Nothobranchius furzeri: one gene and its partners. The protein of the gene in region 2 interacts with the protein of the main gene of each other region in a pairwise test. Links are inferred from orthologs where the notes say so. Each region holds a gene or a part of one and is shown on either strand. Other genes may lie near its edges.

Region 1 (5,983 bases), on a different chromosome or scaffold from region 2:
CCTAAGTTTATCCAAACCATCACTTCACTCAGACACCTGTTTCTTCCTGAAGCAAAATCAGACTCACACACGCAGTCATATCACAACATTCTCAATCTTCATAAATTCACCACAAGGTCTATTTGATCATATCAACTGTTAAAGATTGTCCCACAAGTTGCCAATGTTGATTGTTATTTCCTGTTTGTCAATTTCAAAATCATTAGTTTAATTTGAAGAATTAAAACTTTTAATTGTCAAACTGGTTTCCTCATTGAACTGAAACACAGACACACAGATATTATCGTCAGTTTATTGATGAAAACAACCTTTGAGTCTTCTTAACAATATAAAATTTGGTTATTGATTTATTAAAAATTAATATTCCGAATTAATACGTAGCATGGTTCCTCTTTCATAAAAGAGCGTAAGACCACAACGCTACAATATGGCTGAGCCAAGCCAGTTTCTCCTACACCTGATTATGAAACTTTGGCTGAATAGCGCTTGTTCCTGTCTCCAATGTGGCGACACATCCAGGAGCCGTCTGAGGAGAATCCCAGAATCTCATATCCTCTTCAGCTCAGAAAGCACCTATGATTACGCACAAGCGTGACGCGTCAACCCGGTCTCACAGTAAGACCGGGTTGGAACTGTTCAGGTTTACGCAGACAATCTTTACATTTAGAATTGGCATACAGATGTAAAATGTATGCAGTAAAATATAAAGCATTTTATTTAAATATCCATTCATTATTTTACAAGCACAGAGAGCCGCATCAGATGGATGGAAGAGCCACATGCGGCTCCAGAGCCGCTGGTTGCCGACCCCCGTCCTGGTCAGAGTTGTTGTTGTCGCTCATGTTTGTTCTAAAGAGATGTGCATTTCTCAAAGGGACAAAGAACTCAAAAGAAAATAATCTTAAAGATTGTTTGATTGATAAAATAAAACAGGTTGCTTACTTTATCTGGATGTTGCTGTCCTGAGCTTCTTCCAGAAAAGAATTTGAAACCAAACATGCCTGATCCTCCTGTTTAAACCAGTGTCCTAACCACTCCTGCCATACTGAACACAAACATATGACAGGTGAAAGTGATTGCACAAGTTCCACCAGTCATCTATAACGGTAAATAGAACTTATACCCAAACACAAATCTGCTGTTAACTAGAATCTGCATAATTTCACCAAGTTTTAATTGTTAAAATATTCTGGAAACCAAGATTCAAATTGACACCAAAAGTTACAATTATACATTTAATTTTTATTCTATCATTGCGCTACAGAGACAGAGAATCCAACGCGATCAAAGATTAAATAAAATCTTTTTATTTCTCAGGAACTCAGGTGAAATCAAGGTGCTGATGCTCAAAGTTCTCACAGGCGTGTGTGATGAAGGATCACTTCAGTTTCCAGATGAATCTGTGACATGGCTGAAGCGCTGTCGTCGTCATGTTTCTGGTTTCCTCTGAGCTTCAGAGGCCAAGGTGAAACTCAAGAGAGGTCAAACGAGATGCAGCTCAGCCCAAAACATAAAGTTCAGTTCAATGTTTGTCTCAGTCTCTCAATCATTTCAGATTAAATGTTCATAATAACATAAAAGCTAATCACAAAACAGCAGCTGCCAGGATGCTGATCAGGATTGAGCTGATGATGAAGATGAAGAGGTGGTGGAGGAGCAACCTAAGTATTTCTGTAGAAACTGATTCAGACTGAAAACTGTCCCCCAGCCAACAGCTGGGCTCATGCTGATGAAGTCATCCAGGTTCATCTGACACCCTGAAGAGGAAATGCACCAAAAGTACAAAATCACCTTTTCCTAAGACAGGAATCAGAAAACATGCTCCACATTAACTTGATTTGTTACCAGTGGTCTTTAAAGGGGGGTAAGAGGGAGGGGGCTTCTTCCAGCTCCCATCAGGGTTCTTCATGTGAGTTCGATCAGACGCAAAGTTCAAGAGGAAGCTCTCAGCAGGAATCACACGCAACTTCCTGTCACAGATATGAGAAGGTGTTGGTGATTTCACTCCAGTGCATTACCTGTGTAATTCAGCAGTGCTACCTGTGATATTCAGGTTTGATGTGGTGGTCTGAGCGGAGGGCCTGGCTGCCATAAAGCCTCAGATTGCATGGGAATGACAGCTCTGTGTCCAGATCATAAACCAGAACCTCCGACTGAGGATCCACATGAAGCAGGATCACATGGTAGTCCTAAAACACCCAAAAAAACATGATTAACAATGTATTATTTTAATGCTCTGAGGCCACTTTAACAGGAAGGAGAATCATAGACCCAGATCACTGGATGGTCAGCGTGTCCAGACTTCTGCTTCCACAGAGGAACCTGAAGGAGAACAAATAACATCACTGATCAGCAGCAGCAGCAGAAGTCAGATCTTAGTGAAAATGTTGATTCTTTATACAAACTTGGCAAATTTAAGGGGATTCGTGATGATTTGTTAAACTTTAGACCTGTTGAGACTAAATCTGTTGAGTTAAATATGTTTAAAGGGTTTTGTAACACATGACAAACTTCTCAGAGCTGATCTTCTCACCATTCTGTTGTCATTAGAGATGAAAACCACAAAGAGCTGTTCCAGTGGAGCAGTCCTCGCTGTTTGAACAAACTCACACAACTTCCACACATTCTCCTCACTGCAAAGCAAATTAAGACATCACTAATCAAACAGCAAAAATAATCTAATAATAATAAAATCATATCCATAAGAATGTAGCAGCTACCATTTAAGCCAACTGCGTTTTGCTACAAAATTTGATGAATAATTATGTAAAACCCAACAAACTGGAGTTTTTTTTAATCATGATGTAACAGAATGGATTTACCAGTAACAGCTGGTGTAAACACAGAACTCACGACTCGGTGTGATTCGATCCTTTACTGCCTTCATGGTTCGGTGTTACACCGAAACCGCTCCGACGGTGTCACTTCGAAATGTGTCCCCATGGTTGAAAACTCTTGTCACATCAACTTCATTATAAAGAAAATTGTTTGTTTTTTGCTACAAAATTTGACGAATAATTATGTAAAACCCAACAAACTGAAGTTTTTTTCATGATGTAACAGAATGGATTTACCAGTAACAGAACTCGCGGTTCGGTGTTACACCGAAACCGCTCCGACGGTGTCACTTCGAAATGTGTCCCCATGGTTGAAAACTCTTGTCACACCAACTTCATTATAAAGAAAATTGTTTGTAGTAAATATTCTAAGAACATTTTGCAGACCCTGGTACCCGAATATTTTCGTTAAACATAGTTCCCGCTTGTGTTCAGCACAACTGATACATAAAGAAAGCTGATATTCTTAGAGATTTTATTCTTAAGAGAGGCCTTTAACCTGGTTAAACAACAGATACAACAAATATTCCCAGGCCTGCGCAGTCGTGCATTTACATGGTTATTACAAATACTTTTACTATTAGAAACAAGCTTTGTACAAAATACCCAAAAACTTGGTTCAAGTTAAAAATATCCATAATGATGAAATTTGAAGCACAAATACTTTATATTTGGGATAGTCCTAATTTCTGCCTCTGGCAACAAAACAAACAAACAAAAAAAAAAAACCTTTAGAGCTGTAATTATGTTGATAATTTTAGATAATTTTATTTCCTTTTTGAAAGCTGTAATAAATGGTCTTGTTTTTCAAAAAGGTAACCGCAACACAAACTCCTTTAAAATGAAGGCAGACAAATAAAACTACATTTTGTAGGTTTTAAAAAAAGAATCAATAATTCTCCTAGTTTTAACATACAGAGACAAATTGTAAGAACAATATATTTTATTGAAAACAATAAAATACATTTTATTGAAAACAATAAAATAAACTACAGAAAACAAAACAAAAAAAAAAGAAGAAGGTATCCTGGTAATCAGTCCATTAGGGAGGTCAGACTCCTCCCACACACACACAGAGCTGCTGCTGGTTAAAACACTTTAGGTGAAGAGCCGGATGGTGGCGTCAGCTCCTGAGGAAAAGACCCACGGCTGAGTGGGGTGAAAGATCACGTCCAGAACACCAAGATCGTGGGTGATCACATGACCTCTGAGAACTTTTACAGGTACTATCAGCGGGTTCTGAAGCAGGTCGCTGGAAGAGACGGCGGCAAGTTTTAATATCCTGTCTTTTATAAGTCTTGTTATGAATAGATTTTCAGGGTGTGTTTGTGGTCTTACTTGTAAACAGTCCCGTGACAGACGATCACCGATCCATCATCAGACGCCGAGGCAAACAGAGGGTAACCTCTGTGATAGGCCACACCCCTCACTGCTTTCTTATGGTGTCTGAAGGAAAGAAGTGATCAAAAAGCTTTATTAGAACTGGCACAATGACAAAGACTACTGATGGACTCTTAGGAGCGTACCGCAGCATTTTGTAAGGTTTGGTTGAGAGATCAAGGTCAAACCAGCTCATCCTGCAGTCGTAGCTCCCACAGATCACATGATCACCTGCAGGTAAGTCAGACAGGTGAAACTAAAGCTCTTCTATAGAACTATCTTTAACGTTTACACTGAGGCGGTGCCGTTGTGACCTACTGACCTCCAGGGTGGACTGCTATACTGGAGATCCACTTGGAGTTGGCTTGTAGTTTTTTGGTCATTTCCTGTTTGACTAGGTTGTAGATCCTCACACAACGCTGAGTGGCTACAAAGAAGTAGGGCCTGATGGGGTGGAAGGACACGCACTGGACAAGACCTTTACTCTTCCTGAAGGGATTCTGGCTCCGTCTCTTGCTCACCTGGTGGATGAACACCTGCAGGTGGCTTGAGTGTTCAGGCATCACAGATGCCAGGTAGTCTCCTTTAGCATGCCACGTCACCTGGTGGACAACCTGTGGGGACGCTGACCAGTTAGTTCCCACCAGACAAAACCCAGAATTATTTAGAGGACAGTCTCACTTTGGGGTGCTTGATCTTGAGACGGATCCCCTGATTTAGCTCCTCCCCCTCAGTTTCTGACCAGACCACAGGGTCTGCTCCATCTGAAGGCCCCTCTTCCTGCTGACCAGTAAGAAACTTCTCTGATGATGAAATTACCAGTTTGTCTGCCAGAGCAGGAGACAGGATCAAGACGGTGGACTCCCTAAAAAAACAGAAATAAATAAAAAAATAAAAAGGATGCATGTAACAGATTGATCTGCAAAACAGACAGAAAACCAGATCCTTACACAGCAACAGCCAGGAGACACAGAGACGGGTTTGGGTTCCATGCAACGCTCTTTACAGCTCCGCCCACCTGGATTGTCTTCATGCAACGGGACGAGCACACCTCCCACAACCTGACGGAGCAGTCATCGCTACCTGCAGACACGTTACAATGCCCACCTCAGTAACCAGACAGACCCTCGTTCCCAGGGTTTACAAGTACCGTATTTTCACGACCATAAGGCGCACCTAAGAGTCTTAAATTTTCTCCAAAATGTACGCCGCGCCCTGTGGTGCGGTGCGCCTATTGTGTTGTTGTAAGACGCGAACGTAGTAGAAGACAAGGGGCGTGGAATGAACCTGCGGACGTGAGCGAAGACAGACCTGTGGATCTGCCACATCGTCATCAACATCCTCGCTATTTGCCTCAGACTCCGGCTGTGAGTCTCCGCCCACTTCCTCTGCTTCCAGTTCAAAAAACAGCCGTACTATCTGAACTGCCTGGTGGACATGTATCCTTCTCATCATCCTTTATAGAAGCCTAATAAAAGCCGACTAAACTGTAGAGACAATAAATCTGTCCAGATCGCTCCAAAATATGACGTTAACCATCAATATCTGTCTAAATGTTTGTTGTTACTCCGCTCGCGCCACTCCTTTCCCCGCGAAGCGGCTCCTTTTTGCGCACGTCTCGTTACTCGTGCGGCCTTCCTCTCTCTCTCAGCTACATAATGATGCTTTTTATCAGCTGAATATGTGAGACTTCCACCAACAGCAAAAGGATCTCATGTTTTTGTGGGTTCTTTATGTTCACAAGCACATTCCCTCTCACAGATTAC
Region 2 (5,878 bases):
AGAAGCATCCCTGCACAACAAAGGTCAAAGTTCACGTCAACAGAACGGCGGCTTCCAGTCATCAGGTGAGTTTTACCATGTCTCTCACTCTAGTCCATATACATAGACCAGGAGTCTCCTGCCTTGTTGTACCTTTGAAAATAGTCTTTGCACATGGGACATGGGGACTGTGTCCACATGTACACCAATGAGGATAATGTGCATTTCAGTCTGTGGAGGAAATGTGTGGAACAGGGCTGATGAGGAATTAAAAAGCTGTGTAATTATAAATCAACTAAAATATTTTATTAAAAGAATCATTAATGCAGGAGTACATGTGATGGGCCGTATTTCTGCATGATCTGGTGAGCGAGTTAGTGTTATGTGTGACATGGAGGACACCTTAAGTATACAAATATTTATATGGGTGTTTTTATTGGATGAGGCATCTGGGGGGTAGGATTTAATGAGCACATCATAATTTTCCTGTCATTTCCTGATTAGATCTGTTATTAATTATTTAATAATAATAATAAAATAATAAATAATATAATTAATATTTTTTATGTCTGAAATGAAGATGTCATTCATTCATTCACCAGCACAATTTACTCCTCAAAACATTCCGTTCAGGCACAAGAAGTGTAAATTATTACTTGTATTACATGTGGGGTTACCATGGTAATGTAACATTTTCATTGAGAACAACGTGAAATTCCTCCCGCCTTACACAGACTGTGCTGTTCCTATGACGCTGGTCAGAAGATTCGATTGATGTGGGACTACAACAACATACTCAGCAGCTTTTGGATATTATAATCGGTTTCAGTCTAGTGGGGATTTTTGGCTCATTTGAGATTTTGTAATGAGATGCGATCTTTCACCTGCTGTGGGCTAAATGGAAGCGTGCAGCCTAACACGTAGAGGATTCCTATTACAAAATCTCTAACTGACTACACTTACCACATGTTGGTAAGGTAACGAGTATGTTGGACATTAAATGACCCAAGTCCAGATGTTCCTGCGTGAGACGTATAGCTATGCAGACGACACCCAGCTCTATCGGTCATTTCCACCAGACGACCACACTGTCTCTGCACGAATATCAAACTGTCTCTCTGACATATCAAAATGGATGAAATCCCACCATCTTCAACTCAACCTCTCTAAAACTGAACTACTTGTCATCCCAGCGAAACCATCCATACAGCACAATATCTCAATCCAGAATGACTTCCTGTCTCTGGCTCCTTCAAATGCAGTTCGAAATCTGGGTGTTGTGATTGATGAACACCTGACCTTTAAAGATCATGTTGCCTCTGTTGCTCGTTCATGCCGCTTTGCGCTGTATAACATACGAAAGATCAGACCATACCTAACACAACATGCCACCCAGCTCCTGGTGCAATCTACTGTCATCTCCCGCCTCGACTACTGCAATGCCCTTCTAACTGGTCTTCCAGGCTGTACTGTGAGACCTCTTCAAATGGTCCAGAACGCAGCGGCGCGTCTGGTCTTCAATCAGCCAAAAAGAGCACACGTCACCCCTCTGTTCATTGAGCTCCACTGGCTACCGCTAGCAGCACGCATCAAATTCAAATTGCTAACACTAGCATACAAAGTCCGAGATGGTACGGCTCCCCTCTACCTGAATCCTCTTGCAAAGGCTTACGTCTCGGCCCGGCCGCTCCGGTCATCACAGGATCATCGGCTAGCAGTGCCTACACCACGCTCAGGACAATCCAGACTCTTCTCATGCATCGTTCCACAAATGTGGAATGACCTTCCAAGCACTACCAGAACAGCGGCTTCCTTTTCAATTTTCAAGAAACTCCTGAAGACCCTGCTCTTCAGAGAGCATCTTCTAAACTAGCACCCTCCCTGCACCCGTCCCCCCTCTCTACTGTCCACTCCTTGTTCCCTCCTCTCCATGACTGATGTCAAGTTGTTGTTAGCCTCAAGGGCAACATGCCGATTATCACTTGTAAGTCGCTTTGGACAAACGCGTCTGCTAAATACATAAACATAAACATAACGCCCCTAACTGGAGAAACGCTCACCTCTGAGTAGCAACAGAAGCAGCAGCATCCAGAGCAAACTGCCTCATCACGCTCTCCTCCAAGTACTTCTGCTCCCACTTGGTCATGTCGGCCTCTAGAGCCAGAATCCGTTCCTCCTTCTCCCTTAGATGCTCCATCAGGGCTGTGGCGTTGTACTCAGACGGGACGGCACCGCTGCTCTGAGAGCTTCCCTGACGCTGCGAGGCGAGGAGACAAAAAGGTAAAAGTGGGGTTTTATCTCCCCGTCAAAATGTTTACTGTAGAAACAAAAGCAACAAAGCTTCTGAACAAAACGTTAAAAAGTGTTTGAGTTTTACTAAAATATTAACTGTTATATTTAGAGTTTCCACAGGTGTGGGCCTTGTGGTCTAGTCTTCACTCAAGGAGAGCTGCCACCTCCTAAACCTTTCTGATGCCTGACGTTGTATGATCAGGAAGGAATGAAGCCAAGTACAAGGCAGGAGAGCAGAATCCCCTGCAGCCCAACACCTGGATCACATCAGACGCAGATGCGCGACGATGCGTCGTGAAGCGCTGTGGAACGAAGAGCGCTTCTACTCGGCGCCCTTGTTAACCTACGGTCTCAATCACATCAGCTGTGAAGTGCCGAAGGCTCGCGGCGTGCAGCGATCATTTTGGTGTGTGCTCTTTTTCACGAGCCGTGTGAATTTTGTCAGGAAGTCAAACAGAAGAGGCAGGCCAGTAAATGTAACAAAATAAAGACTTTTTTCTAAATAAAGCACAGCGATTGATAAATGTGATCATTTTTGTGTATCTAAACAGAATAGAGATGAAAATGAACAAAGACACAAACACTCACACACACACACACACACACGCACAGCAAGGGCATGAGGGTGGGGTGGGGGGGGTGGGGGGGGGACGGTAGGCGTGAGCAGAAGCGCTTGTTGAAAAATCTCGCCTGATATAAACAGAGCAGCAGCGGGCAGCACTCAAATTTCGTGAGCGATCCACTTAGTGGCGCTTCGCTGCTGATGTGATCCTGGCTTAAAGTGGCAAAGCCAAAAGAACAGGTGGAGGACTTCCCAGTGCTCCTGCTTTGGAGTGCAGATCAACAATGAACTAGACAGAGAAGACATCTCCAGTCTTACAAGTGTTCTGACACGACTTTAGCGTGACACTCAGGAACGGACAACTCTTTCTGCTGCAAACTCTGGAGATGTGAGATAAGCTGAGGAACGTGTTAGACCAGGTGTGGTGGAGCGTTTATGAACATTGTCTGCTACTTTTACTTAGCTTGTTTTATTTAGCTGCACCCAGATGCATGGTCACCCCCACAACAGGCCTGCTCAATAACTTGTGATGAAGTCGAGGAGCCGTGAGTGCACAACGCTGCCTTACCTGCTGCAGGCGGAGAGATTCCAGCTCTCTTTCCAGTCTTGTTCGCAACCGATGTTCAAGCTGTTCCCTCTTCTCACAAGCTGCCTGCAGCTGAGCCAGAGCCTGCTGCATCCTCTCCACCTTCTCCACGTAAACCTGCTTCTTCTTCAGCTACACACACACACACACACACATTAGAAACACAGCTCTGGACAGTTTGATGGATGAATTATGATCTAATCACTGAGAACAGGACGTTCACACTAGCTGGACGAGGTTTTTCCAGGATTGTACGTTTCAAAGGTGATTAAAATTATGTTTGATTCTGAAAAAAAGAATCAAATCTAATATATATATATATATATATATATATATATATATGTGTGTGTATATATATATAACATACATACATACATACATGCATATACATATATATATTTATATATATAAATTTTAATGTTTAAATTTTATTTTGATGATTATGCGGCACACTTTGACTTCCATATGTAGCGCATCTGCCGCGGTTAGGGTTAGCGGTGTTCTAACCATTATTTGTACATCCACCATGTCCCAAACACGGTGAAACAAACTTCAAACTCAGCGTTTGGAGCTTGTAAGGCAGCACCAGCTGTCTGATGTTGCGAGCTGCAGCAGCGTCAATCTTTCCGGCTGGATGAATGAATTTCGTCATCAGAGAGTCAATATTCTGCTTCCTAACTGGAGTCAATAATGACCAGACAAAGCTATCAGTTAAACACCAGATCAGCCGGCCATTGCAAGTGTTTTCCCTCTAATATTCGCCCTCTTTGTGCTGCACTCTCCTCCTCGTCTCGTCCTCTCCCTGACCGGGAACCCCTCAGTCCTGTCTAACTCCCCGTTGTCCCCTGACTGGCTGACCCACCACTGGAGGACGTTTTTACACAGACGGACTACGTAAAAGAGCACTACCTCCTCCTCCAGCTTGACCACTTTGGCCTGAGCATTGTTGAGGGCCTGGTCTCTGATCTCGATGTGTCTCCTCTGGTCATCTGTGGTGGAGCGGAGGGCATTTAGCTCCATCTCCACCTTCTCTTTCTCACGCAGCGTTTCTTTGTCTGTAGATGTAGAAGAATGGAAACTCAGCATGAAGAGGTAGAGCTGGGCAATATGGAATCATTCATCAGGTTAGGGTGTGTGTGTGTGTGTGCGTGCGTGCGTGCGTGCGTGTGTGTGTGTGTGTGAGTGTGTGTCTGACTCTGTGTCAGCAGCTGGGAGATGGTTTTGCGGTTGTCCTCTGAGCCGTCACACTCTTTTGAGGCGAGCTGCTTGTTGGCCATCTCCATGCGCTCTGTGGAAACGCAGCAGAACAGATTCATGCCACCGCTGCTGTTGTTTAATAGTGACTCAGAATATGGATACAAAATATTAAGAACACAAACTGCAAGAAGAGCACAACTGTGCTGGATAAGCTGCTGTTTGCAGAGCAAAACAAAAGCCGCCCATCATTTCTTCTTTTTTATTTTAGTGTGATCCAAAAACAATAAGTGACTCATTTTTTTGTTATTTGTTTTTGAATCTAAAACACAAAAACAAAGAGGCTTTTCTTTTCACACAGCCAACGTTAAGCGTAGACCCTACTTTCTGAAAATGGCCAAGCCCACCTCCACCCTGAGAACAGCCTTCTGGTGGTTTTAACGGGTGTGTAAAAGCAAACTTCACCATCCTCACTCACAACTTAGCTTCTGGTTTGTGTTTGTTCACATCAGAACAGAAAAACAAGACAGGATTAAAGAAATCAGTAGATTCTGACCCACTTTGGAGGATTCTAACGGACCTTTCTGTAATCTGACTGATAGAAAACGGTAAGGTCCTGTCGATTTATTGGTGTGCGTTTCTGCACTCACCTCGCAGATCTCTGTTAAAGTCGTGCAGACGGCGCACCTCCAGCTCCAACTTGTTCCTCATGGTCTTCTCTAGCGCCTCCCTCTTGGAGGAGGACTTGGCCAGGTTTTCATAGGCCTCCGATACCAGCTGGATCTCCATTTCCAGCTACACACACATCAGAGAAAACAGGCTGTGAGCGTGGCACCATCATATCAACAAACAGGTTTGATTCATTCAGAAGGCGCAGAACAAGACTGAGGAACCACTTATTCCCAAAAGCAGAGAGGCTCATGACCTCTGACCTTTGAAATGTCCTCTTCTCTCTGTCACTACTGGTGTTAAGGAGTTTATTAATGACGTTTTATTTCCTTTTAATCTGCCTGTCTTATGCAGGAACTTTAGGAAGCCTTATCCTCTGGGAACCCGTCTGCATCTTATTTTCAAGTTTGTGGTTAAACTCGAACAGGCTAGTAAGACGTGGTCTGATTGGATTGTGTGTTCAACTAATTCCCACAACTCACTTAAAAAAGTTACAAATGATTGAGGCAGTTTGCAGAAAATATTACCTTGTGCAGCTTTGTGACCTTCTCACGACAAGCCTCCATCTCCTGTCTCAGCATCCTGTTCTCCTCCGT
Region 3 (5,058 bases), on a different chromosome or scaffold from region 2:
GCAATATCAGCCATATCAGCCGACTTTTTAGCCGATAGCCGATACTGTTAATGACCCCAATATCGGCCGATAATATCAGCAGGTCGATATATCGGTCGGGCCCAAGACTAATGGTGAGACGGTTGTCCCGTGGTTTCATATATTTGAAATGCATCTTTCCAGGTCTTGTTTATGCATCGATGTGGTGAAACTTTACACAGCTAACACAGATCCACCTCTGGATATTAGGAAAATAATACTTTATAGGTTATATGGATCTGCCCTATTGATGTTTGATCAAAGGAAAAGTGCTTCAGCTGCTGGTTGGAATTTATTAAGAATCTAAAGGAAGTTTCCCCAAAATTCAGTGAAACGTGTATTTAAAGAGCATTTTATTCATCTTTCCCTGATAAACACAAACCATTGCAACTGTGAGTTCTTGTTTTTCCCCCCATTTTTGCTGCATTACAGTGTTAAAATCCATCCTTCTACACTCATCTCCTCCCGTCTGGATTAGGCTAACTCAGCTCAGATCCTACATGACTCTTATGGGTTTTTCTTGTTCTTTTTTGATTGCTTTCTGTAACGGTCACTTTCATTTAGACAAAAACATGTTATAAGTGTGTTTGTTTCTGACCACAACCAAAGTGTGGGAACTGAAGAAGCTTCTGGGATGAGAGGCTAAATGTCTCCAACATAACCAGAAAAGTCCAGCTGTTTATAACTGAAACCATCAGGATGATCATGTCCAGGATGACTGAGTCGACACCTCCGTGCTGCAGCAGCATTCAGTCAGAACAAAAAGTGAAGCTTGAATGTAGCTGCTGTCAGTAACAATCTAACAGATTTAAACATTAAAACTCACACCAGATTAAATAGTTCAAAAAGGAAATAAAAAATGTCACAACTGTGTGTTGTGACATTTTTTATTTTTATATTATTATCCCTGTGGGCTACAGTGGGCATAACCCGGTGTGGTCCACCAGAGAGAAAGCTCTGCAGGCGACAGACAGCTGGTGTGTTCAGCTCTGAAAAGTGCCGATCAGAATTTGCAGATCACGTTTGTTTTTCACGGAGGTCAGCTGCGAATTCCTCTTCCGGTCAGGATCTAGGAATTGAAATAAAAAACTGAGCGTTTTTGGTTCTTTTTAAAACACAGGAAAGGTTTCTGTGTTTTAAAAAGAACCAAAATGTTATTAGAAACTAGACACAGTAACAACACACCAAAGAAACTTTGAGCGTTTCCGGGAAAAACTCACTCCTGGTCCCGGTTCCCATCGATGCTCGATGCCCAACTCTACAGTTAAGTCACTCCAATGTTTTAGTTGTTATAAAAGACAGTTTATACAGCTTATCTTGGCTTCTATTTCATCTATTTTTCAGCTGATTGTTTTAGTGTTTGTACATTTTCCATCTTTTGTTATTTAGTCTCAATGTTATTTTTCTCTTTTTATGCTAAATTTTGAAATGTTTTTGATGCTTCATCTCATTAAAAGTGCTGGATTTGTTCCGTGTAAGCATCTTTGGTCTTCTGCCATGCTACTTTTATACATGCTATATAAATAAAGATGGTATGGAACAAGACACATTCTGAAGTGTCAGTATAAAACAAAACCAGTCTTCATAAAGACCTGAACTTACGCGGCACTCAAGTGTTTTAATTCTGCTCTTTTTAACTTACCTGGTAACCGTCCTGCAGCCAGAGCATCACCTGGCAGGTGTCCGTTCACACCGTTGGATGGCAGGTTTGCCATGTGACCCAGCATCCCGCTGCGCATTTCCAGGTCGGTGGGATAAGGTCTGCGTGGATCTCCTGTCACCAACGTTTGGATGGTGTGTTAATGAAGTCAAACCTGCCCTCTACTGACAGCCAGTGGGAACTGCAGGGGCCTCCAGCTCCTACCTGGCACCCAGTTGAGTGGAGCACACACGGCGTTGCTGGCACTGATTCGGTGAGCGTATTTGATGATTTCCTCTGATGAAATGCTTCCTGCAATTAAAAACTCAAAATCAAGACAAATGAAAGAAAAACAAGAACAAGACAGACTTCATTAGTGTGTGTGTGTGTGTGTTCCATGTGTGTGTGTACGTGTGTGTGCGCGCGTGTGTGTTACGTGTGTGTGTACGTGTGTGTTTCGTGTGTGTGTGTGTGTGTGCGTGCGTGTGTGTGTTCCATGTGTGTGTGCGTGTGTGTGCCTGCGTGTTACGTGTGTGTGTGCCTGCGTGCACGTTTGTGTGTTCCGTGTGTGTGTGTGTGTGTGTGTGTGTGTGTGTGTGTGTGTGTGTGTGCGTGCGTTCCATGTGTGTGTGTGTGTGTGTGCGTGCGTTCCATGTGTGTGTGTGTGCGTGCGTGTGTGTGTTCCATGTGTGTGTGCGTGTGTGTGCATGCGTGTTACGTGTGTGTGTGTGTGCCTGCGTGCACGTTTGTGTGTTCCGTGTGTGTGTGTGTGTGTGTGTGTTCCATGTGTGTGTGCGTGTGTGTGCATGCGTGTTACGTGTGTGTGTGCCTGCGTGCACGTTTGTGTGTTCCGTGTGTGTGTGTGTGTGTGCATGCGTTCCATGTGTGTGTGTGTGTGTGTGTGTGTGCGTGCGTTCCATGTGTGTGTGTGTGTGTGTGTGTGTGTGTGTGTGTGCGTGCATGTGTGTGTTCCATGTGTGTGTGCGTGTGTGTGCATGCGTGTTACGTGTGTGTGTGTGTGTGCCTGCGTGCACGTTTGTGTGTTCCGTGTGTGTGTGTGTGTGTGTGTGTGCGTGCGTTCCATGTGTGTGTGTGTGTGTGTGTGCGTTCCATGTGTGTGTGTGTGCGTGCGTGTGTGTGTTCCGTGTGTGTGTGCATGCGTGTTACGTGTGTGTGTGCCTGCGTGCACGTTTGTGTGTTCCGTGTGTGTGTGTGCGTGCGTGCGTGTTCTGTGTGTGTGTTCCATGTGAGTGTGTTCCGTGTGTGTGTGTGTGTGTGTGTGTTCCTCACCTTTCCGGGCTTTTTCTATAGACTTAAGTTTCTCTTTTGCCTGGTAAACAGCGGTGGCCTTAAATAAAAGAACAAGGGAACCAAAAATCATTTGAGGAAAGAAAACACTCAGATTTAAAGAATGATGTGTTTGTGAGTTTCTACTAATTATTCATGTTGACCAAAACCAGCAGCGTTGGTGGAGACTTCACACAAACCCACTCTGAAGCAGCAGCTGCTCCACCCTTCTCCATGACAGCTTCATGCTTTTGTTTGGTTTGTAAATTCCCATCAGCTATTGTAAAAGTTCAGTCTTTAAGCAGTTTACAAACAAGCAGCAGCACACAGCTGCAGGAATGGAATGCAGCTCATACAGATGGTGCTAAATCATATCACCGCATTGCAATTCCTACAACAAACCTACTAGTATGTGTTCGGCCTCCTTCAGCTGCTTCTGGAGCTGCTGGATGTCGCTGTCTCTTTTCTCCACCTCCTTCTCCAGCAGCTGCATCTCCTGGTGAACCTTCCCCTGCTGCTGGGCCACCTCCATCAGCTCCTGGAACTCCGTGTCCCTCTGCACCAGCAGATCAATGATCTAGATGGGAAAAACAGATTGCAAATGTTACATCCAAATTCATATTCAAAGGATAACCAGTTAACAGCCATGGCATGTCTAATCAGCAGACTTTGCTGCATCATTATAGACACCAGTGTACCTCAGATCTTCCAGGAAAAGTGATTCCAACAATAACAATAATAGGTAGTAGTTGAAATGTAAACACTCAAAAATGAAAAGGCAGCAGAAAAAAAATGCCAAAAATACAACAACGTCAAATAAAACCAATACAGAAATCAAACATCATCTCATTATGAGGAATATAACATCAAATCTGCACGGAGAAGTAAAAAGTGTCTCCTGAGGGTACCTGAACATACTGTGAAAGGCAGAAGATGGGATTTGCCAGATTCTGGGGGCGTGGCAACTAGACGCCGGCTGGTGCTTGTCAGGTGTGATGAGGCCGGAGATGATAAAAGGGTGGCAGATCTACCAAGGTGTGTGTGTGTATGGTCGACCTGTCATTGTGACACCCGGTTCTGGGGGGTGGGATCGTTCGCAGTTGGTTAGGACTGCCGGCGATGAAGACAGCTGAGTAGGTGGGCAGTGTTCCAGTGCTAGGACGGGAGGCTTGACGCCTTCTTTAGGTAGCGAGGGCTGGGAGTATTTGGGTGCCGAGACCACGCCGACATCTGCCACAGCAAACTCTGGCAGCCGGACCCGAGCCATGGACTCACCTGCCGTCCACGCAAGCTGAACCCCGGGGCGTTGGACGGTGTTGGAAGCTCAGACCCCGGGGAGGGGGTCGCATCGACTGGGCCAGCTAAGTACCTGATTGTTTGATTTTACTTATGCTGAACAGCTGGTTTTGTCTTAAAGGGACAAGAGGCAGTAGCCGACGAGTTCCACAGCGGAACTCGCCCGTGGTGTTTTATTATTCAGTTGTGCTAATAACGGGTATTTTTGATCATTTCTGCCTACTGGTGTTGTTTTAGGTTCTGACTGGAGGGTAAGACTTTCTGCCAGCGCACCCACTGAAACTTATATTAAAATACTTTACATAGAAGTAGGGTTGTCATGGTAACCGGTGTAGCAGTGAACTCTGGGGAAAAAAGTTGACAATAATAATAACCGCCTTGTTTTTAAAAAAACTATATTATCTCGGTGATTACAGTGGCTGCGGTGACCCTTACCAGCCACCGTATCATCTGCTGAAGTTGCCGGCGGCACATGCGCGCTTTGTTGTTTACAACCAAAACTTTCTTGAAGCTAAAGCTGAAATAATGGCCAAAGGAGGAGACGGCAGCGCTCAGGACATTTATTATCCCTCAAAGAAGACAAAGGGGGAAGTACGGGCATCTTTTGGATATTTGAAGAATGCCGAGGGAGTTGATAGAAGACGACTATCCTGTTTGCAGCACGTGCAGAAAAAGTGTCTGTGAAAGGCAGCAACGCTTCAAATCTCATGACACATCTGCGTGACCATCACCCACAACTCTACAGTCAACGCAAGGCAAGCTAACGTTAGCGTTTTAGCTAAAATGTGTGATCCGAGGATTTGGGTTGAGGGAGAATG
Region 4 (6,334 bases), on a different chromosome or scaffold from region 2:
GACAGAGGCGACTACTTACACTCCCATCATAAAAGTAGAAGCTTAGGCTTTTGGGCCTCGTATTACCAGCGCCATAGACACAGAACTCTCCCCTACTGTGTGTGACTTGGTCCAACCAAACACCAGCCGACGCACCGCCAGCAGACCCAGGATGTGGGAAGACTGCCGTGCCCAACGGGGCCGCTACAGGCGACCTTCTGGACAGGGCTCCTTCCAGCCCCAACCCTCACAACCTGCTGCTGCTCCTCCTTCTCTGCAACTGCTGGCCCAATGGCAGCGGCGTCACAGAATGAGACCTCTAGCTCCTGTCTGGCAGAGCCAGTACCAAGAGCAGTTTCCTAAAAGACAAAGGCAATGACTCGGGGAGACGTGTGGTGATGTTCATGTTCGTGTTCCTTTTGATTCCACATTAAGTTGTGTTCAAGGCATTCTGGCATGATGTTTGAACAATGTTTCTCCTCATATGGTTCTGATGAGCACTCAGTTTTCAGACACGTTTCCCACACGTAATGCATTCCTTCCTACTGGACATTCAGTTAAAGTTTGCAGTGGGTTAGCTACAGCCTCTTGCTGGTTTGCCCCTGACACAAACAACACGCTAACGAGGAAAATGTTTCCTCCGCTTATTTGCCGCACGTCTCTGCACACAACACATCTCCTGTGCATGTGTGCCGTCCAGGCGAACGCGGCGACGGCGGTAGGGTTCAGCTATGGCTCATGCATGCGTGTCCTCTCTCTCAAAATGTGCAAGAATTGGTACGAATCTGCAACACGAGCGCATGGTTTCACAACATTGTATATCGTGGTCACAAGCTTCATTTTCGGTCTCGTCCTCCGCCATTTGAGGGGATTGTGGTAACCAAACTGACATCATCAGATAATTATCTTGCCCTTAGATCAGAGCTGAGGGAACTCCTGGAAAAGGAAGCAATTTCCAGGGTTCAGAAAGGCGAGGAAAACTCAGGATTCTGCTCCCTCTACTTCCTGGTTCTGAAGAAGACGTGAGGAGCCAGGCCCGTTCTCGATCTGTCCTTGTTCAACCGCTTCATGGCGGTAAAACACTTCCATAAACTGACAATAAAACAGGTTCTAAGTTATGTGCACCCGGGTTAGGGTCCTCACACTTTGCACTTTCTCCAAATGCCTGGAGATGGCGCTTCAACCCTTACGCACTGCGGGCATGAGGATCCTCTTTTACTCTTTTATGATCTGCTGCTGCTGACATGCTCCGAGCCCGAAGTGGAATCACAGACGCAGGCGTTAGCAGACCACCTGCTCAGGCTGGGGATTTCCAAAAATTGGGAAAAAAGCTCCGTGATCGCTTCTTGGGTGATCACGTCATGGGAGTGGAACTGAACTCTGGGATCAGGAAAGCTTGCCTGTCTCAACTCTGGGTCTGCTTCACATGAGATGCATCCACCTTCCCCCACTCTTTCCACAAGCACGTCCTTGTGCTCCCGCGCAGGGTGCCACAAACTTCACATCCATGGACCTACTTGACAGTACTACATGGATCCTGCCAACAACGCCAAATGTGGCAAGGTGGAGAAACGAGGGCCCGGGCGGGATTCGATCCCCTGACTCCCGGGTGAGAGTCATGTGTTCTTACCAGTCAGCCAAAGGGACATCCCCATGGCCAAGTAGCCAGGGCGCATGATCAATCGGGACATTGTGACAGGACACTCACACTGTCACACATTGATAGTTCAGACGCCTCAAGGTTCACCCGATCCACCACAAACGCCGCATGATGATTGTCTCTAAGAAGACCCTAAGAAGAGCTGTTTCAGTTGAATGAGCTCTATGAAAACCTGACTGGAAACCATCATAGATGTTATGTTCATCAAGATCAGCTGTGAGTTGTTTGGCCACAACCTTTTCCAAGATCTTGGAGATGAACGGAAGTTTAGAGATGGGTCAAGACTGGGTTTTTTTTAAAGATTTGGGTTGGTTACAGCATTCTTAAAGCGCTCAGGGACCTGACCAGAAACCAAAGAAACATTAATTATAGAGAACACACTTGAACTGACGGATTTTTGCCGCAACACAGTTGTAAACAATAACTTCTAAATCTATTTTGCCTGGTTATTTTATTTTATTTTATTTTATATTTTATTTTATTTTATTTTATTTTGCGTCTTGGTGTGGATAACATGTATTTCCAGCTTTGGTTTTCAAGGTGTAGTACCACCATTCGCCACCTAGCCGCAGTAATAAGCTGAGGCGGAGTTAAACTCTCCAAAACCCACGAAGAAGAGCGAGCGTCGCCATGGCGGAAACAAAGCAGCAGGCAGGTAAAAAAATCCACCGGGATGTTGTTTCTTCGTTAAGTTCAGAGTCAAAGTGGTAAAAATGTCTTTAATCGTAGCGTTTAAGCCGCTTTTCTCCATGAGAACGAGTTTTACGGCGGTTAAACTAACCCGGAAGATACACGCTGACTTAGAGACAGAATAAGCTAACATTATCTTCACATTTTAATCACGTGATTAAAATGCTGTCTCATTTTAAATGTATTTGTAATATTTTTTATTGCTCGTGATGTTTTTTTAGCGTTTAATACATCCAGTTGGTTGTTTGGCAATCTTCGGTGTTTTACTGCAGGAATGTACCTCGGAAAGTATTCTTAACGTTGAATTACAGTGTTTTTCAATAATGTTCCAAATAGTTTATTTAATTTTTTCTCTATTCAATATTTCTAGGAACAACTTTCATAAATAACTATTGGGGGGGGTGGGGGGGGGGGGGGGGTAGATGCCCGTTCTTATTTCTATTTAAATATGCTGATTTTAGCAACAACAAACTCATTTTCGTATTTAATCCAACAGAATTAAATAAATTAATTAGAGCTGAGACCTGAATGACAGCAGGACTTCCTCTGTGTCCAGTGAAATAAGAATAATATATAAAATCACCGTCAGCCAGAGTTTTTGGTCCAAAGCTTTATGATTTAACTGAGTGAATGTTTTCAGCCTCCTCCCCTGAAGATGAAGCTCCTGAAGTTTCCGCCCAGGCCAGCTTCATGATACCTAAGAAGGAAATCAGCATGGTGCCCGACATGGGGAAGTGGAAGAGATCTCAGGTAGGTGTCTACCTGCAGCTCTGACACATGTAGCTCACATCCGTTTGGTTCTTTTCCTCTGACTTGTGTTTAAAGGAGAAAACCCCATCAGTTTAGTTTTATAGAAACCAGATGTTCAGATTGAGCTGATGGTGGAGGACATGAACCTGACATGGCGTCTCTGGTGTGTGTCTAAGGTTCTGCTTGTGCCCCACAGGCCTACGCCGACTACATAAGCTTCATCGTCACGCTGAATGAAGGAGTGAAGGGAAAGAAGATGTCGTGTGAATATGAAGTCTCCGAGGTTTGGTTTTTTTTAATGTCTGAAATGGTTTTTATTTTGACTCGGACACCTTTAGAGATGTTCCTCCTAGAGACGGAGTTCCTTTGGACTGAGAACACGGTTCTCCAGTTTTTGTCTCAGCGGACAAACAAAGTCCCTTAAGTAGGGTTGTCACGGTGTGAAAATGTAACCCCTCAGTTATTGTGACCAAAATTATCACGGTTTTCGGTATTAACGCGGTATTTTTTTAAACGTGTTACATTTTCAGACAACTAAATAAACCCTGTATATCAGGAAAATATTGTCCTCGGTTTGTGTCCTTCCAGTGAGCTTTGCAGATTTGGGAAAATGTCATCAGGCAGTAATCATTGTTAAATTCATAATTATTCTCGGAGAGACCAACTCTTATCTGCCCCTGGGAGCCCCGTCATGCATAGCGTCATTTCAACATGGCGGTGTCCGCGACACGGTTTATATGCAGGTAGCGGCACTGCGGCTGCTTTATATAGCGACTCGTTGCATTCTCCCTCAACCCAAATCCTCGGATCACGCATTTTAGCTAAAGCGCTAACGTTAGCTTGCCTTGCGTTGACTGTAGAGTTGTGGGTGATGGTCACGCAGATGTGTCATGAGATTTGAAGCGTTGCTGCCTTTCACAGACACTTTTTCTGCACCTGCTGCAAACAGGATAGCCGTCTTCTATCAACTGTCCCTCGGCATTCTTCAGATATCCAAAAGATGCCCGTACTTCCCACTTTGTCTTCTTTGAGGGATAATAAATGTACTCCTGAGCGCTGCCGTCTCCTCCTTTGGCCATTATTTCAGCTTTAGCTTCAAGAAAGTTTTGGTTGTAAACAACAAAGTGCGCATGTGCCGCCGGCAACTTCAGCAGATGATACGGTGGCTGGTAAGGGTCACCGCGCCTACACCGCAGCCACGGTAATCCACCGAGATAACATATGTTTTAAAAAAACAAGATGGTTATTATTATTGTCAACTTTTTTACCGGGGTTTACCGCTACACTGGTTACCGTGACAACCCTACCCTTAAGGAGGAGGTTTTCCCTCTGCAGCGTTCCGGTTCCTCCTACTCGTGGAGGTGTTCTGACGCTTCGAACAGCAGGTGATGAAGCCGCTTCATGTGGTTGCTTGTTGCAGACGGTGGACAGGCTGCTGGAGCTTTTGGGGACTTTGGACCGTTGGATAAACGAGACTCCTCCTGTTGACCAGCCGTCGCGTTTCGGTAACAAAGCCTACAGAACCTGGTTTGCCAAACTGGAGCAGGTTGGTTCAGACTTCCTCCCACACCGCCGAACCCCCACGCCGTTGATGCTGAGTGTGTCGTTCCTGTGTGTTCCCAGGAAGCCGAGACCTTGGTGTCCGCCGTACTTCCTGCCGACAGATCCGCTGCTGCTCCAGAGATTGCCGTCTACCTGAAAGAGTCGGTCGGGAACCCCACCAGGATAGACTATGGAACGGGTAACAAAGTGGGATTCTGATCCTGCTTCCCTTCCCGGCAGCCAGACTTCCTGTTAAACTGGTTCTGAAGGGACGGTCCTCCAGACCCTCTGGAGGTCTGATGGAGTTTGTGTTCTCAGGTCATGAAGCAGCTTTTGCGGCGTTCCTCTGCTGCCTGTGTAAAGTTGGAGCTCTCAGAGCAGAGGATCAACTCGCCATTGTCTTTAAGGTTTTTGACAGGTGAGCTCTTACTGGTGATGGCACACGGTTACTGGGAACTACTGGTGTAAAAATGGTGCTCCACTTCAGTTTCACCTCTAGAGGCGGAGCTCTAGTGTCGTGTTCCTGAGTGATGGGGCTGATGGAGGCGAGAAGGACCAGCCGAGCAGGACTTTGTCTCTAGTGAGGAGCTGAGCTGGAAGCTCTGGATTTACTGGGCCATCTAAACCCTCACCTGAGGTCATGAGATCTGGATCAGCACCTGAAGATCCAGGACCCAAGCTGCCTCCTCACTGAAAGGAGGCTGTTCTGATTAGGACACCTCCTTATTTAGAGTTAGGTTTTGATGCTTCTCTTGTTCGACCGAGCTATAACATCTGGAACATCTGTGTGTTCTTGAGGTACCTCCAGGTGATGAGGAAGCTGCAGAAAACCTACAGGATGGAGCCGGCTGGGAGCCAAGGAGTCTGGGGCCTGGATGACTTCCAGTTCCTGCCCTTCATCTGGGGCAGCTCCCAGTTCATAGGTGAGGCTCCGCCCACAGAGTTAGGCGATGCACGGACCACTAACACTTTAGTTGTGCTTTTACTAAAATCCTGAACACATCCAAAATGGTGTTCCTGGGACTGCTGCCAGGGCAGAAGGCAGTCCGCCGGGTCCTTTAGGAAAGCAGCTCTTTGTTGTGGGAGGAGCTGCGGTGTAGGGACCGGATGTGAGCACTAGGGGGCAGCAGGCAGACATCCAGCCCTGTCTGATCCCAGCACCGGAGCAGCTGCTCCCCAGAAAACCAACTCCCCTGCAGATTTATCTGTTGGTCAATAACCTGAATTATTTTCACCCTGAACATAAACTACAGACATGTTTTATTATTTCTAACGATCAATAAATCAGCCGGTAATTAAAACCAAATAATAGAATTTTCAGCCGATCTTAAAACGACTCAAATCCCACTTCAGATCAACAAAAGCAGCTTTTTATTTATTTACCTAAAACTAAACGGTTGTTAAGGGAACGCTTTTTGTAAATCAGTTAACGAAGACAAAAGTCAAAAATAGACAACAGTTTTTCAGATTTACCTCAGACCTTCAACGCTGCGAAGTCTGGAGCCTCTGCTGCTGATTGGTTCACAGATTAAATTCCTAAACCAGCTTTAATTTAACACAGAAGTTTAAGGCTGCGCTGGGATATTTCGGATTTGATCGTCAACAGCGACTCCTGGTGGCAACCAGGCCGACTCACGCTGGTTTCTCCTCAGGTCATCCGACTCTGGAACCGCGGCATTTCCTCGACGAGAAGGTGGTGAACGAGAACCACCA

What was found.
Region 1: the proteins of amot (region 2) and ntaq1 interact in binary tests that used the Homo sapiens proteins (3 or more experiments, as listed by UniProt). The two-hybrid records come from large-scale screens. The link is inferred for Nothobranchius furzeri from reciprocal best matches to the Homo sapiens genes AMOT and NTAQ1.
Region 3: the proteins of amot (region 2) and med4 interact in binary tests that used the Homo sapiens proteins (3 or more experiments, as listed by UniProt). The two-hybrid records come from large-scale screens. The link is inferred for Nothobranchius furzeri from reciprocal best matches to the Homo sapiens genes AMOT and MED4.
Region 4: the proteins of amot (region 2) and ptpa interact in binary tests that used the Homo sapiens proteins (3 or more experiments, as listed by UniProt). The two-hybrid records come from large-scale screens. The link is inferred for Nothobranchius furzeri from reciprocal best matches to the Homo sapiens genes AMOT and PTPA.

The regions. Positions count from the first base shown.
Region 1 is NC_091759.1:9,344,973-9,350,955, reverse strand, and holds ntaq1 (protein N-terminal glutamine amidohydrolase), read right to left. Parts: upstream 2,982-5,983; 5' UTR 2,888-2,981; coding exon 2,823-2,887; intron 2,634-2,822; coding exon 2,534-2,633; intron 2,323-2,533; coding exon 2,272-2,322; intron 2,190-2,271; coding exon 2,041-2,189; intron 1,971-2,040; coding exon 1,846-1,970; intron 1,758-1,845; coding exon 1,615-1,757; 3' UTR 1,287-1,614; downstream 1-1,286. Other genes in the region: ribosome biogenesis protein bop1, read right to left, coding at 3,936-4,089, 4,176-4,283, 4,364-4,448, 4,540-4,831, 4,899-5,082, 5,168-5,300. UniProt on the Homo sapiens protein: Mediates the side-chain deamidation of N-terminal glutamine residues to glutamate, an important step in N-end rule pathway of protein degradation.
Region 2 is NC_091750.1:44,158,110-44,163,987, forward strand, and holds part of amot (angiomotin), read right to left. Parts: coding exon 5,810-5,878; intron 5,409-5,809; coding exon 5,264-5,408; intron 4,708-5,263; coding exon 4,615-4,707; intron 4,475-4,614; coding exon 4,329-4,474; intron 3,552-4,328; coding exon 3,402-3,551; intron 2,237-3,401; coding exon 2,040-2,236; intron 11-2,039; coding exon 1-10.
Region 3 is NC_091754.1:35,369,023-35,374,080, reverse strand, and holds part of med4 (mediator of RNA polymerase II transcription subunit 4), read right to left. Parts: intron 3,522-5,058; coding exon 3,351-3,521; intron 3,006-3,350; coding exon 2,948-3,005; intron 1,970-2,947; coding exon 1,883-1,969; intron 1,793-1,882; coding exon 1,661-1,792; intron 1-1,660. UniProt on the Homo sapiens protein: Component of the Mediator complex, a coactivator involved in the regulated transcription of nearly all RNA polymerase II-dependent genes.
Region 4 is NC_091746.1:70,996,320-71,002,653, reverse strand, and holds the start of ptpa (serine/threonine-protein phosphatase 2A activator), read left to right. Parts: upstream 1-2,147; 5' UTR 2,148-2,269; coding exon 2,270-2,294; intron 2,295-2,969; coding exon 2,970-3,079; intron 3,080-3,275; coding exon 3,276-3,362; intron 3,363-4,499; coding exon 4,500-4,625; intron 4,626-4,702; coding exon 4,703-4,820; intron 4,821-4,939; coding exon 4,940-5,039; intron 5,040-5,419; coding exon 5,420-5,544; intron 5,545-6,273; coding exon 6,274-6,334. UniProt on the Homo sapiens protein: PPIases accelerate the folding of proteins. It catalyzes the cis-trans isomerization of proline imidic peptide bonds in oligopeptides. Acts as a regulatory subunit for serine/threonine-protein phosphatase 2A (PP2A).